Linked DNA regions of Daphnia pulex. The protein of the gene in region 2 purifies or fractionates together with the protein of the main gene of each other region. This does not show direct contact. Links are inferred from orthologs where the notes say so. Each region holds a gene or a part of one and is shown on either strand. Other genes may lie near its edges. The genes, in order: kinesin-like protein KIF3A, kinesin-associated protein 3-like and kinesin-like protein KIF3B.

Region 1 (4,176 bases), on a different chromosome or scaffold from region 2:
TTAGTTGGTTCCTTTTAAGTCGAGTGGAACAATGAGGTCAACAAATCGATTTACCGCTGAGCTGAGGGGGTGCGAGCACCTTTTCCTGTAAGGCGCGCACTGGTCGCCGACCGAGATTTCATTTTCGCTGATTTAGGACGAACAGGATCAGATAAGCCAATGATGTCGTCATATGAGAGATACACGTAACTGAGATCCAGTTCAGGTCTCTGTGGATCGCCAAATTCATTAGTGAAATCAGATCGCTAAGCTTGGTAATAAGACGTACGTAGGTGGAGCGAGCAGATCGCCGAGGAGAATTGTACTGGTTGATGTTATTTCCAGCATAGGCCACGCCTCTCAGTTGCCATTCACCGTACTCTTCACTCCAGTTGACATGTTGTTCGATAATTTGCTAATGACAACATTGCAATTTTATCATTGACAACTTACAAGAGTTTGATGACAAAAATGTGAGGAATACCTGATACGCAGCCGGGATGTATTCGTCGACGACCAAAGTAGAAAGCTTTAATTCTTTAGAGAGCTGTCGTACACCCTCGAGGAGTTGTTCCATTTGTGTCTGATGTTCCTGCCTCATATCTTCAATCTCGCTCTTGGACGAGTGAAGTAGCGTCCAGACTTTGCGCAGCTTTCTCGTCTTACCCTGCACCTCTTCTTGCAACGAGCTGTAACGCTCTTCCATATCTATCCGCTCGGCTTCTTTCTCTTGCAACTGTTGGCGCAGCAAATCTTCTTTGGCCTTTCGTTTCTCAAGCTCTTTTCTCGCATCCTCTAGCAAACTGGCCTGTTGTTCCACCCTGTCAAGCAAATTCTCACCTCCTACGATGACTTTGCTTTCAAGTGAAGCTAGTTTCTGTCTCAGACGCATTTCTTCTTCCCTGTTTGACACAGATATTGAATCAGGGGATTTATTTGAAAATCTGTGACGCTGAAACTTACGCAGCAGTCTGCAATTCTTTCTCTTGTTCCGCCAAAGTTTGGGCCACTTTTTTGCGCTCCTCCTCCGCTAGTTGGCTACTTTCCATAACCATTCTTCGCTCCTCATCAATCTTGGCCTGTAAATAATGAATTCTCAGTTGCCAAATATTTATCAGATAGACGATAGGATTACTTTGATGGCAGCTCGTTCACTCTCCGTCCGCGGTTTTCGTTTCTTATCTTTGCGCAGCTCGTAGTTTTCTTCGCCACTTTCGTCCGAACTGGCACTACCAACTGTACGGATTAGATAAGATTACGTCAACAAACAATAATTCTCATTTAAATATTCAAACCTTCTTCTAACTGTCTACGAAGCTCTTCAATCTCTCTTTGGAATTGCTTGAGCAACGCATCCTTAGGATCCTCGTTGATACGAGCTTTGTTTCGGATATTTTTGGCTCGGCTTGCATAGCGAAGTGTGTTCAGAGTTTCATCAAAGTTGAAAGATGCGGGTCCGATATTTGCGCACTATCTCCAACAAGTGCCAAGGTGTCATTATTAAACTGAGAGAACGTGTTGAGGATTCAGGTTTTATACCATGAGGGTTTTGGCGTTTCCACCAAGAGAATCTTGCAACAGCCTAGTTAGCTTGGAATTGCGGTATGGAACGTGAGAGGCCTTGCCATCAGCCAAAGATGAAATTACATTTCCCAATGTAGATAATGACCAATTGATCTTGGATGCTTCTCGCAGTCGGAGACCTGAAGCTCCACTTTTGGTCTGTCGTTCACTTCCAGCCAAATCCACCTTTCAAGACAAAATAATCGTAAATTCTTCTCAACCGAGGAACAAAGATGATGCGTTACAAACCAGATTCAGTCGACCGACATGAAGAGTGCTGTTTCCATCTATTCCTTTCTCGCTGCACTCGACGGCAACCGTGAAAATGGCGTGAGAACGCGATGAATGGATGTTCATTTGGGTAGCACCCACCGATCCTGATAGTTTCGATCAAAGTTACAGATTATAATCTTCAATGTAAATATAAAAGGAAGCATCTTACTATTTTTATTTCCCATCGTCATTATACGCTCCATGTCCTCGGCATTATTCACAACATAAGTAGACAGATCTTTGACATAGACGCCAACGTCGGGCCTTTCTTTGATTTCCAGATGGACATTTTGGTTCTTGCTCAGTAAATCCCTGACTTCTTCATTGTAGATTTCAAGGTAAGAGACACGAACTAAGAACCTGTGGAAAATTCCAGCCAATTCATAAAATCAAAAGTTCTGATTATTTAATTGAGCTATATCTACTACACACTTTTTTCTTTCTGATTCTTTAGCTATATGGCCAAAGATGTGTGCAAATGAATTTGGAATGATTCCCCTTAGTTCAGGGGCTTGAGGGTTGCCCTCCATGGTGAATGTTTTGCCTGTTCCAGTTTGCCCATAGGCAAATATTGTGCCATTATATCCTTCCAGAACATTCTGAACTAGAGGTCTTGCAGCATGGTTGTAGACTTCCATCTAGAATGGAAATGTTGTAGTAAGAACATTGTTTCAGTCTGAAAAAAGAACCGACAATACCTGAGAAGATTCTTGTCCGAATACAGAATCAAACACAAAGCTTCTGTCCACATCATTGTACGATTGACCAGTCCCATTAGCACCATTGTTTTGGGCTCGAAGAATAATAGTATTATTAACTGAATCAACTTTGACGACGGTTTTGTAACCGGCAGTCTTCTCAGTTTCGCTCAGTGGTCTCACTCTGACCACAACTTTGACATTTTCCGATATAGAGCTGGTGTCCATCATTTACCAGTACATGAAAATAACTGGTGCAATTCTCAAATGAGATCTATATGAGATCAAAACCCCACCCTTTTAGATCACTGAAATTGAGAATCGCATGTTTCTACCAGATTCTAGCAGAAGACAAATTAATCGATACTGTTGACGTTGCGTTGCTATGGGAGATTCAGAAGTAATTGATCGGTGCCGCCATCTGACAGCGAAATATTGTGGCAATTCTCCTGGAATGAAATCGTTCAATCACGAACGCTGGATGTCGTCTTCTCGGAGGAAATAAAGGAACGACATTGTCGTCGTATATATTCTTTCACCCGAAATCACGGTCAGCACAAATCGCCTTTGGAGCTGATGGTTGAAAACGACGTTGCTGGGTAGGAAATCTCGTCAAATGAGTTCCCTGGCGTCCCCCTAAGTTCCAAGTCAAACGGCGAGTGAGTACATTAGCCGTTTAATAATAGGAGAGAATCTCTTGAATCAACATTGAAGGGAAAACGGATATCGTTTATTGCAGCTCGAGGGGGTTGGACGATGAGCACGAGGAGGGAAGTAATGTCAACACAATAATGCACACTGCAGATTCTCTAATATGTTTTCTCGATCGTCGTCGTCATCGCGGGACGGAAGAAGAAACAAGTCGAACCGTTGATTGGTTATGTACTACATGGTGTGTGTGTTCACAGTACAGTTTCGTTCACGGGAATATGTCGTCTATTCATTATAGTGACTAAGTTGTGCACATGTGTAATTTATAAAGCTTATATTAGCTTCTTCCTTCATCGCCCGTGTACTACAATTATCTTTTTGGGGGGTCCCTGTTGTTGCCTATGTGAGCCTCTTTGGTTCACCAGGTGACTGCCGTTTCCCGGGTGCCGTTCATGAGGTGGAAAAAGCGTGTTTGGGACGGGGGGCTCCGCCAAACTTCACGAGAAATGCGCGGAGAGATACGAACGTGAACGCTGTAAGATGGGAAAGCGGTTATCGGGATTGGAGAATAAAAGCGGCAGAGTCGATTCACGGTCGACCAACAGTGGCAGCTGCACATCAAAGAACAAGTCTGCTGCTGCTGCTGCTGCTTCTGCTGCGAGGATCCATCGAGCTAGGATGTACACATCAGAGCAATATAGATCAGTTTGACACGCGTGAATGCAGCCACTCTAGTAACTCGTCCATCTCACCGAAAACTGCTGCGGGAGTGGAGCATTTATTGCCTCCCCCTTCCGCACTTTTTTCTCAACAGCCCACCCGAAAATAAAAAAGTCTCGAGTGTGTTCCAGTCAATTTCACTGTTGCCACACCCTCTTTTTCCATTTGAAAAATATTTAAAAAAAAAGTCCTCGTCGATATTTCCCGTGTAAGCTCCTCCGCGTGTTCCGTCATCGGGAAAGAAGATCTACGTAATGCTTCCAGTACTACATGTGTGTGTGTGTGTGTGTAC
Region 2 (3,018 bases):
CACATTTGCTGGGTTGGTTGATCTTATCGTTCAGGTGGAAAACAAGACAGAATCAAACGATCCAGAGATATGGAGCAAAATTCGCCACCATCTTTCTGTTATTGCATTTTTAATTGGCGAGGCAGGCCGATCACTCAACGGAGATTTTTAGATTATGATCTTGTGATCCTGCAGGATTAAGCGCAAATGCACAATACAAAATTAGTCTGACGAAATTGTATTACATATTCCTTTTTAACTTTATCCCAATGAATAAACAGTAAAGAAATGTTGTTTTTCTTTTATTTGTGTGGATTGTGAATTAATTTAATTTAATTATGATGTGATTGATTGAATTCTAATTAAATTCACTTGACAACAACGTCTGCTTCTCTGATATTATTTTCGTGAAAATTTTGAAAGGTTTGTTACATAATATTATAGTTCGTTCCGTTTCCATGGTAGAAGAGAAGTGAGATAACTGCAATATTGGTTGGATTTTTAATATTTTAAATCTAAAATACCAAACAAAACGTTCTTAAATTTCGGGGAAATTCCGAATACAAAATGCGTCAGTGCTGTGGTGTGGTTGAACATGTGAGTGGATGTGCAACATGCTGTGAGGAACTCTGTGAATATGTGTGAGTTTATTTATTTGCTGGCTTATTTTGCATATCATATTTATTGTTTACAAAGTCTTGGCATTTGAACTAAAGAGGTTGAACACGAAGGATGCTTCAACAAGTACAATAGTATACAGTGGAAAACAGATACTTCAGCAGCACTTGCCTATAATCGTGCTGTGATGTTTGTTGAACACATGGAAATGGTAGTCTAGTAACTTAATAATTCTAAATCAGTTTGCACTTGCTGCAATTGGTTCTCTTGATTTCCTCGCTAAAGTATGAATTGAAAATAAGTGCTTATATGTTTGGCGAGTTTGTTATGTTTCAATACCTTGTAAGTTGCCAATATTCCCCATTTTATACATACATTTATTTATAATAATGTCAAATTGCACTTCCTGCCCTCTACTTAACCATTACCAACACAAAATACTTCTTCTTAATATGCATGCATTATGACGAAGGAACTCTGGTTGATTAAACTTTAAATTTTTTGGGACATATATCTATATATTAGATCAACGTCTCGACGGATTTGGTCTTTTCGTGACGGCTTCATTCATCGCTCGAAGTCCCTTCTTCCACGCCTCCTTTGTTTCATCAGTGAATCCTTTCCCCAGTTCTTCTTCCAACACTCCCATTAGGGTCACTCCCAGAAGCTGTTTATCAAGACAGTGTTAATTTTCCTGTTCACCAAAGTAGGTATACCAAAATTATCACATTATACCTTAAGATCTTCATGATGATATTTTCCTTTTGCCTTAGCGATGAACGGACAATTTTTAGGGTTTTTCCCAAGGTGTTCAACGTATGAATTGAGCCCAGATACGCAATTCTGAGCTTGAGCGAGAAAGTCTTCATTCGTCGGAAGCTTCATGTGGTCTACTTCCGCAAAAGCTGGAAACATTTTCTGTGCCTCAGGCTTCAATTCAAAGTAACTAGATTACAGAAAATATTTTATCAATCTTACACTAATCGCATTTGTTTCTTTCACTTACCGTAGGAATGTCTTGGGACCGATGTTACCATTCTTTTTGGCAGTATTCCATGTGGAGCGGATCGTGGCCTCATCCCTTTCGTTGAGAAAATTCTCCAAGATCCTCTGGCTCTCCGACTTTGTCGACGGATCTCTTTGACCGGATGAACTCGCCTGGGAGAATGACAGGTAGGTGCTTAGAACAATAGCGGAGATTTTCCATATGTGTACCAACTTTGTAGCCGCGAGGACACTCTGCTCGTCCAGGCCGAGCCTCCAGAAAGACCACCAATATTGCAGTCAATATGTAGTGGACCAGCATGTTGAATTTTTGAAATTTCAAGTCGTTAAGCAGTTTCCCCTCTTGCACTCAAACTCTTCGGTCTGGGTTTCACGGAATGATATGAGAGCGAGCGCGATTGGAAGCTGTTTTTGAAGTCATCGCGATGAACATAGCTGTACTGTTTTTGACAGGGCACTGGGGACTACGTGCTTTGAGCTACAGTTTCGGAGGCTGATAATATTGAAACCAAAGTCGACCGAATGCTGTAAACCCTCAAGGCGTCAATCTCATTTGAGGGCGACGGATGTCTTATCCATAGGGTCATCTAGATTAGTTGCGGAGGTCGCGTGCTCAGAAACCGAGGAACTTTAACGAGAAGCCAACATTTTTTTTATCGTTTTTATTGGGTCATTTCCCCCTAACGAAAAACACACAAAAAGCAATGGAAAAAAAAATGCGTGAAAACTATTTCTTAAATAGCAGTTTGTTTGAAAGATCATTCAAAGCAAATGATTAGCACCTCGTCAGCCAAAAATACAAGTAAAATGACACGAAAATGTAGTCGGAATCGTTATGTTGAACGCAGCTTGAATAGGAGTAGATCACAGAACTTGGGAACAGAATGAGGGGGGAAAGCACAGCACATTGAAACAAAAAGATTGACGACTAGAAACTCTTGTTTTTATTTTTCTTCTTCTCGTGGTGGGCGACCCATTATTATATTTGCGCATCCCAAGCATCAATAGATTCGACAGGCGATCCTATGCGGGATTCGGGTGATCCGAAACTGGATGCAGAATTACTTGCACGATCGAGGAGGTCGGCGTGTCGTACGCACAAATCTAAAACACTGCCAGCGATACTGTGTTCATCTTCAGTTCCTGATGAAAACACAACAATCGGATTATGTTTGGGTACGATTGGGTACTTGTTGAAATAAGATTATTACCAGGCGACGATAAGAGGTTCGTTTTGGCGATGGCCTCGAGCCACTGAGCATTGTGCCAGCAGAAACGTTCATTTTTAATCCGCTCTTCCCATTTGGTATCCGACTCGGCAATCAGCATCAGTCCTCTCTCGCACACTTTTCGAACTTCTAGGTTTTGGTCGGTCATGAGGTCTAGAAAAGAGGCCGGGATGTCTTCAAACTAATC
Region 3 (4,369 bases), on a different chromosome or scaffold from region 2:
ACTGCAGGGCCTGAGTGAGAGCCGCTTGCAAAGTGGGAGAAATTTCTGGGCCTTCGTATTCCTTAGTGGTCCGCTGGGGGATGTCCAGGCTTAGCAAAAAAATATTTTCACACTAAAAAACAAAAAGTTGAAGTTAGTAAACACCATCTCTCACGCCGACACGAAGCATTTTTCTTACTTTAAAGCGACCGAAAGAAGAAGAATCTTCAGCTGAACGAGCGAGTTTCTCGTAATCCGACGTTGGTCTCAGTTCAAACTTGGAGGCGAAACCTCTAGGCAGTAGAGGCATCTCCGTTGCTGGGCTCAACATCCATCTCTCTTCATCTTCCTCGTAGCGCAGACGTGATGTTAACTGACGTCGGAATTCGGGAGGAACAAAGTGGCTGACAATCAGCTGCTTCAGTCTGAGCTCCTTCATCAGAACTTCTTGAGTTTCTTCCAATTCACGTCGTTGTCGACTAAACTCATCGCCGAGTTCACCCATTTCCTGCTTGACGCTCTGCCAGCGAGCGTACATTTTGCGCAGCTTTCGGGTTTTGTAGTCGATCTCTTGTTGGAGTGAACTGAAATTCTCTTTGAAATCAATCACCTCCTCGTCTTGGCTTTCTAACTTCTGGCGCATCTCTCGCTCTTGACGCTGGAAGCCAAAAAAGATATCCATTAATGTTCATAGTTCCATTTATGTTAGTTTGCTAGATCTTACCTCGCGTTCAATAATTTCTTGGCGGTGAGCTTCTAGCGTTTGCTGTTGCTTCTTCGTGACGTCTTCGATGGTTACGTTTTCGGATGTTGTGCCTATATGGCCAGTTAACAATTTGCTTTCGAGAGCTTCGATTCGAGACGCCAATTTTTCTTGGTTCTCGCGTTTATTATGCAGCTCCTCTTGTTTCGTTTGCAGAGTCTGGAAACAAGATATGATGATTATAAATGATTGCATGATTGCACAGTGAGCATTAAAAAGTACCTTAAGAAGTTGATCCCTCTCTTCCGCAATGAGACTACTATTGTTGAGGATATCTTTTCTTTCCTGCTCGAGCTCAGCTTCTGTATCGTCAGCCCAATCTTCAGAAGATTTGGATACGTCGTGCAACCCCCCATCACCTTTTCTTTTTGGCTTGTTTTTTTTATTACTTAGAGAGGCTTTCAATCGTGCAATCTCTTGCTGAAAGCTCCGAAGGAGAGCGTCTTTTGGATCTTCGTTGATTTGGGGTTTGTTGCGAATGTGTTTTGCGCGATTGGCGTATCGAAGTGTGGTCAACGTCTCTTCGTAGTTGTACGAAGCTGGGCCTATGTTGGCAACCATCACTGTATGAGAGTTACCACCTAGGGAATCTAAACCGGCAGTTTTTTTCCATCAGATAATGAAATTATGTATGAAGTGAATGAAGAGCTCGGTACCTTGTAAGAGACGTGTCAATTTGGAATCCCTATAGGGAACATGCCCGTTTTTGCCATCGACTAGAGCGGATATGACGTTGCCCAAAGCTGAAAGGGATAAATTGATCTTGCTTGCTTCTTTCAGTCTTTCTCCTACACAAAAAAACAGAAAATCAATAAGTTTCCTTGGGCAATTTCAACATGAGAATTTACCAGATGCTCCAGTTTTTGTCTGTCTTTCACTGCCAGCCAGATCGACAAGGTTTAACTTTCCAACCACAATGTGGTTTTCTTCATCTTGACCAACGTCACACGATTCTACCGTTATCATGAATATTGCATGAGAACGGCTACTGTGTTCGTTCATATTGGTAGCACTATTGAACATAATAATAAAGTTGTTTTTGTGCCAGCAAAACGTCAAACTTAATAGTCATTGCTTACCCAGTAGAGCGATTAACGTTTCCCACATTCATCACATGTTCGATTTCAACAACGCTTTTGCAAACAAAAGACGAAAGGTCTTTTACAAATACTCCGGTATCAGAATGCTCCTTCAACTCAAGACGTTTCTTAGGATCTTTTGATACCAAATCCCTTTAATTCAACAGGAATTATTACCAAACTCAAGGCAATATAAGTATAAAAGACAAACCTTATTTGTTCTTTATAGATTTCCAAATAGGATGCTCTCACCAAGTATTGTCGATCATGAGACTGAGCAATATGATTGAATATGTGCTCAAATGAGCGTGGAATAACACCGCTCTTATCCGGGTCTTTTGCGACACCTTCCATTGTGAATGTTTTTCCTGTACCTGTCTGCCCATAAGCAAAGATTGTCCCATTGTAACCCTGAAGTACCGAATCAACTAGAGGCTTAAAAGACTCATCATAGAGATCCTTTTGGTTTGAGCTAAACACAAATTAATACAAAAAATATTTTAGTAAATAGGAAAAATAGTATGTTTTTTACCCAAATTAACACTTACTTTGAGTCATACACAGCATCATAGGTAAATTCTCTAGAAGTGGGTGGTTTTGTAGGCGCTTGGATTTCAATTGCACCTCGCTTTGGTAGCACATTCACAATCCTTCAAGAAACGAACATTTTCAATAGTAAGAATTTAAATTAAAAAATCAGTCATACTACAATACCCCTCATAGTTTTCAGATGTTTCTTTTTCATTCATAGGCCTACACCTGACTATCACCTTTACTGATTCTGCACTCATTTTCTTAAGATGCGACGAACTAACTAAGTCTACTACATGCGAGCTGAAAGGATATCCTGACAGCCAGCCGGAATTTTTTTCACAAAGAAATCAATTCATTTTGCAAATTTATAAGGAGCTGTCGCCATGGAGTCAGTGGAGAAGCCGACTTCCGAATTTGTTGTTGTTGTTGCCTAAGCGATGGGCACGGATTTTTAACTTGCTAGTGGCGGCGCTTGGTGACTGAAATTCACAACAAAATCAGATCAGTAGGCCCTTTTCAATAAAAACACAAAGATTCCAATTTAAAATAGATATTGTTGTCATCAATAAATCAAATAGATAATTTATCAAATTGTAGTCCAAAATAAAACGGGAGATTGGAATTAAGAAACATATTAAGAGAGCATGGTTGAGTTGCTGTTTAGTCCTACCTTTCACGCGGGACCAGACCAGATGTCAGAATAAAATCAGAAAGCGTAAAATTCCGATTTCCCTGTACAAGCTCGATACAGCGGCCACGTAGTGCCGTAGTGTCCGGGAGGAGGAGTTTATTAATCCGCCACCGACCCCCGGCAAGCAGACTTGACAGACGTATGTTCGGTCTGCTGACTAGAAGGTACCGAGGTGCAGTACTGCATGCAATACTTGCTGTGTATTGATTTGTTTCTTTGCCTCTTTTTGCACTAGAATCGCCTGTGTCACCAGTAATCTAGGTCTTAGAAATATTAAATCCATCAAGACGATCATGTCCGCCGAATTACCGAACGTTGTTTTTGTTTTGGGAGGACCTGGAGCTGGCAAAGGGACACAGTGTGCTAAGATAGTTGAGGTGAGCTTGTGTGCCAACCTTGCGATTGAGGTTTCTAAAATTGACCCATTTAAATTTATTGCAGAAATTCCAGTATGTTCATCTGTCAGCTGGAGACTTGCTTCGTGAAGAACGAAACACTGAAGGATCAGCTTACGGAGAACTAATTGAGAGTCATATTCGTAATGGAACTATTGTCCCAGTTGAAATAACTTGCAGCCTATTGGCCACTGTAAGTTAATCTTTTAAAATCCTCTCTTTTGTTACAAGTAACAACAGCGTGTGCTCTTATTATCCCATAATACAGGCAATGAAGAAGAGTGGCAACAATAAATTTTTGATTGATGGCTTCCCAAGGAACAAGGACAATTTAGATGGCTGGCAGAAGGAAATGGGAGACAAGACAAATGTGCTATTTGTCTTGTTCTTTGACTGCTCCCAAGAAGTATGTTTTGTTTGTTTATAGGCTAATTCATAGACTCAAGAACATTAACTTATTCACTTGTGTTATATGATCATTTCCAATCAGGCGTGTATGGAGCGTTGCCTTCAACGAGGTGCCGCCGGAAGTGGTCGTTCGGATGACAACGAGGAAAGTCTAAAGAAGCGGTTTCAGACATACGTCAAAGACACTATGGCAATCATTGAGCATTACGATGCTCTGGGTCTAGTCAGAAAAATTGATGCGTCCCAATCTCCCGACCAAGTATTTGAGGATGTAACAAAAGCGTTTGAGTAGTTGTTAATCTCAAATGAAGACGACTTCCACTGGTTTCCAATAACTTCATTCTAAACTCCTTTTTTTTTAAATTATTGGGTCGTTTGGTTGTCAATCGTGTTTTTTGGTTTGTTTATTAACAATCTAAATGAGGAGAGAAAGTGCACCTAATCAGCAGCAAAGTGTATCCTTTTGTGGTTTCAATTTCTTTTCTTCATTGATGGAAACTTTATACAGTACATATTATAT

Evidence for each region.
Region 1: the proteins of kinesin-associated protein 3-like (region 2) and kinesin-like protein KIF3A purify together in Drosophila melanogaster (affinity purification with western blotting; 5 studies listed by BioGRID, with this or other methods). This does not show direct contact. The link is inferred for Daphnia pulex from reciprocal best matches to the Drosophila melanogaster genes Kap3 and Klp64D.
Region 3: the proteins of kinesin-associated protein 3-like (region 2) and kinesin-like protein KIF3B purify together in Drosophila melanogaster (affinity purification with western blotting; 4 studies listed by BioGRID, with this or other methods). This does not show direct contact. The link is inferred for Daphnia pulex from reciprocal best matches to the Drosophila melanogaster genes Kap3 and Klp68D.

Annotation. Positions count from the first base shown.
Region 1 is NC_060019.1:8,190,674-8,194,849, forward strand, and holds the start of kinesin-like protein KIF3A, read right to left. Parts: upstream 2,865-4,176; 5' UTR 2,745-2,864; coding exon 2,514-2,744; intron 2,454-2,513; coding exon 2,248-2,453; intron 2,176-2,247; coding exon 1,985-2,175; intron 1,920-1,984; coding exon 1,792-1,919; intron 1,729-1,791; coding exon 1,519-1,728; intron 1,450-1,518; coding exon 1,275-1,449; intron 1,216-1,274; coding exon 1,115-1,215; intron 1,059-1,114; coding exon 943-1,058; intron 882-942; coding exon 464-881; intron 395-463; coding exon 269-394; intron 210-268; coding exon 55-209; intron 1-54.
Region 2 is NC_060025.1:2,639,304-2,642,321, forward strand, and holds the end of kinesin-associated protein 3-like, read right to left. Parts: intron 3,013-3,018; coding exon 2,814-3,012; intron 2,746-2,813; coding exon 2,582-2,745; 3' UTR 1,904-2,581; coding exon of another isoform or gene 1,817-1,903; intron 1,756-1,816; coding exon of another isoform or gene 1,604-1,755; intron 1,544-1,603; coding exon of another isoform or gene 1,333-1,543; intron 1,265-1,332; coding exon of another isoform or gene 1,124-1,264; 3' UTR 616-1,123; downstream 1-615. Other genes in the region: N-acetylated-alpha-linked acidic dipeptidase 2-like, read left to right, coding at 1-151; globin C, coelomic-like, read right to left, coding at 1,124-1,264, 1,333-1,543, 1,604-1,755, 1,817-1,903.
Region 3 is NC_060027.1:697,223-701,591, reverse strand, and holds the start of kinesin-like protein KIF3B, read right to left. Parts: upstream 2,815-4,369; 5' UTR 2,613-2,814; coding exon 2,536-2,612; intron 2,472-2,535; coding exon 2,370-2,471; intron 2,294-2,369; coding exon 2,033-2,293; intron 1,975-2,032; coding exon 1,822-1,974; intron 1,755-1,821; coding exon 1,591-1,754; intron 1,531-1,590; coding exon 1,399-1,530; intron 1,333-1,398; coding exon 965-1,332; intron 902-964; coding exon 704-901; intron 638-703; coding exon 179-637; intron 113-178; coding exon 1-112. Other genes in the region: UMP-CMP kinase-like, read left to right, coding at 3,188-3,210, 3,282-3,423, 3,488-3,634, 3,710-3,847, 3,932-4,141. UniProt on the Drosophila melanogaster protein: Plus-end directed microtubule motor that may be used for anterograde axonal transport and could conceivably move cargos in fly neurons different than those moved by kinesin heavy chain or other plus-end directed motors.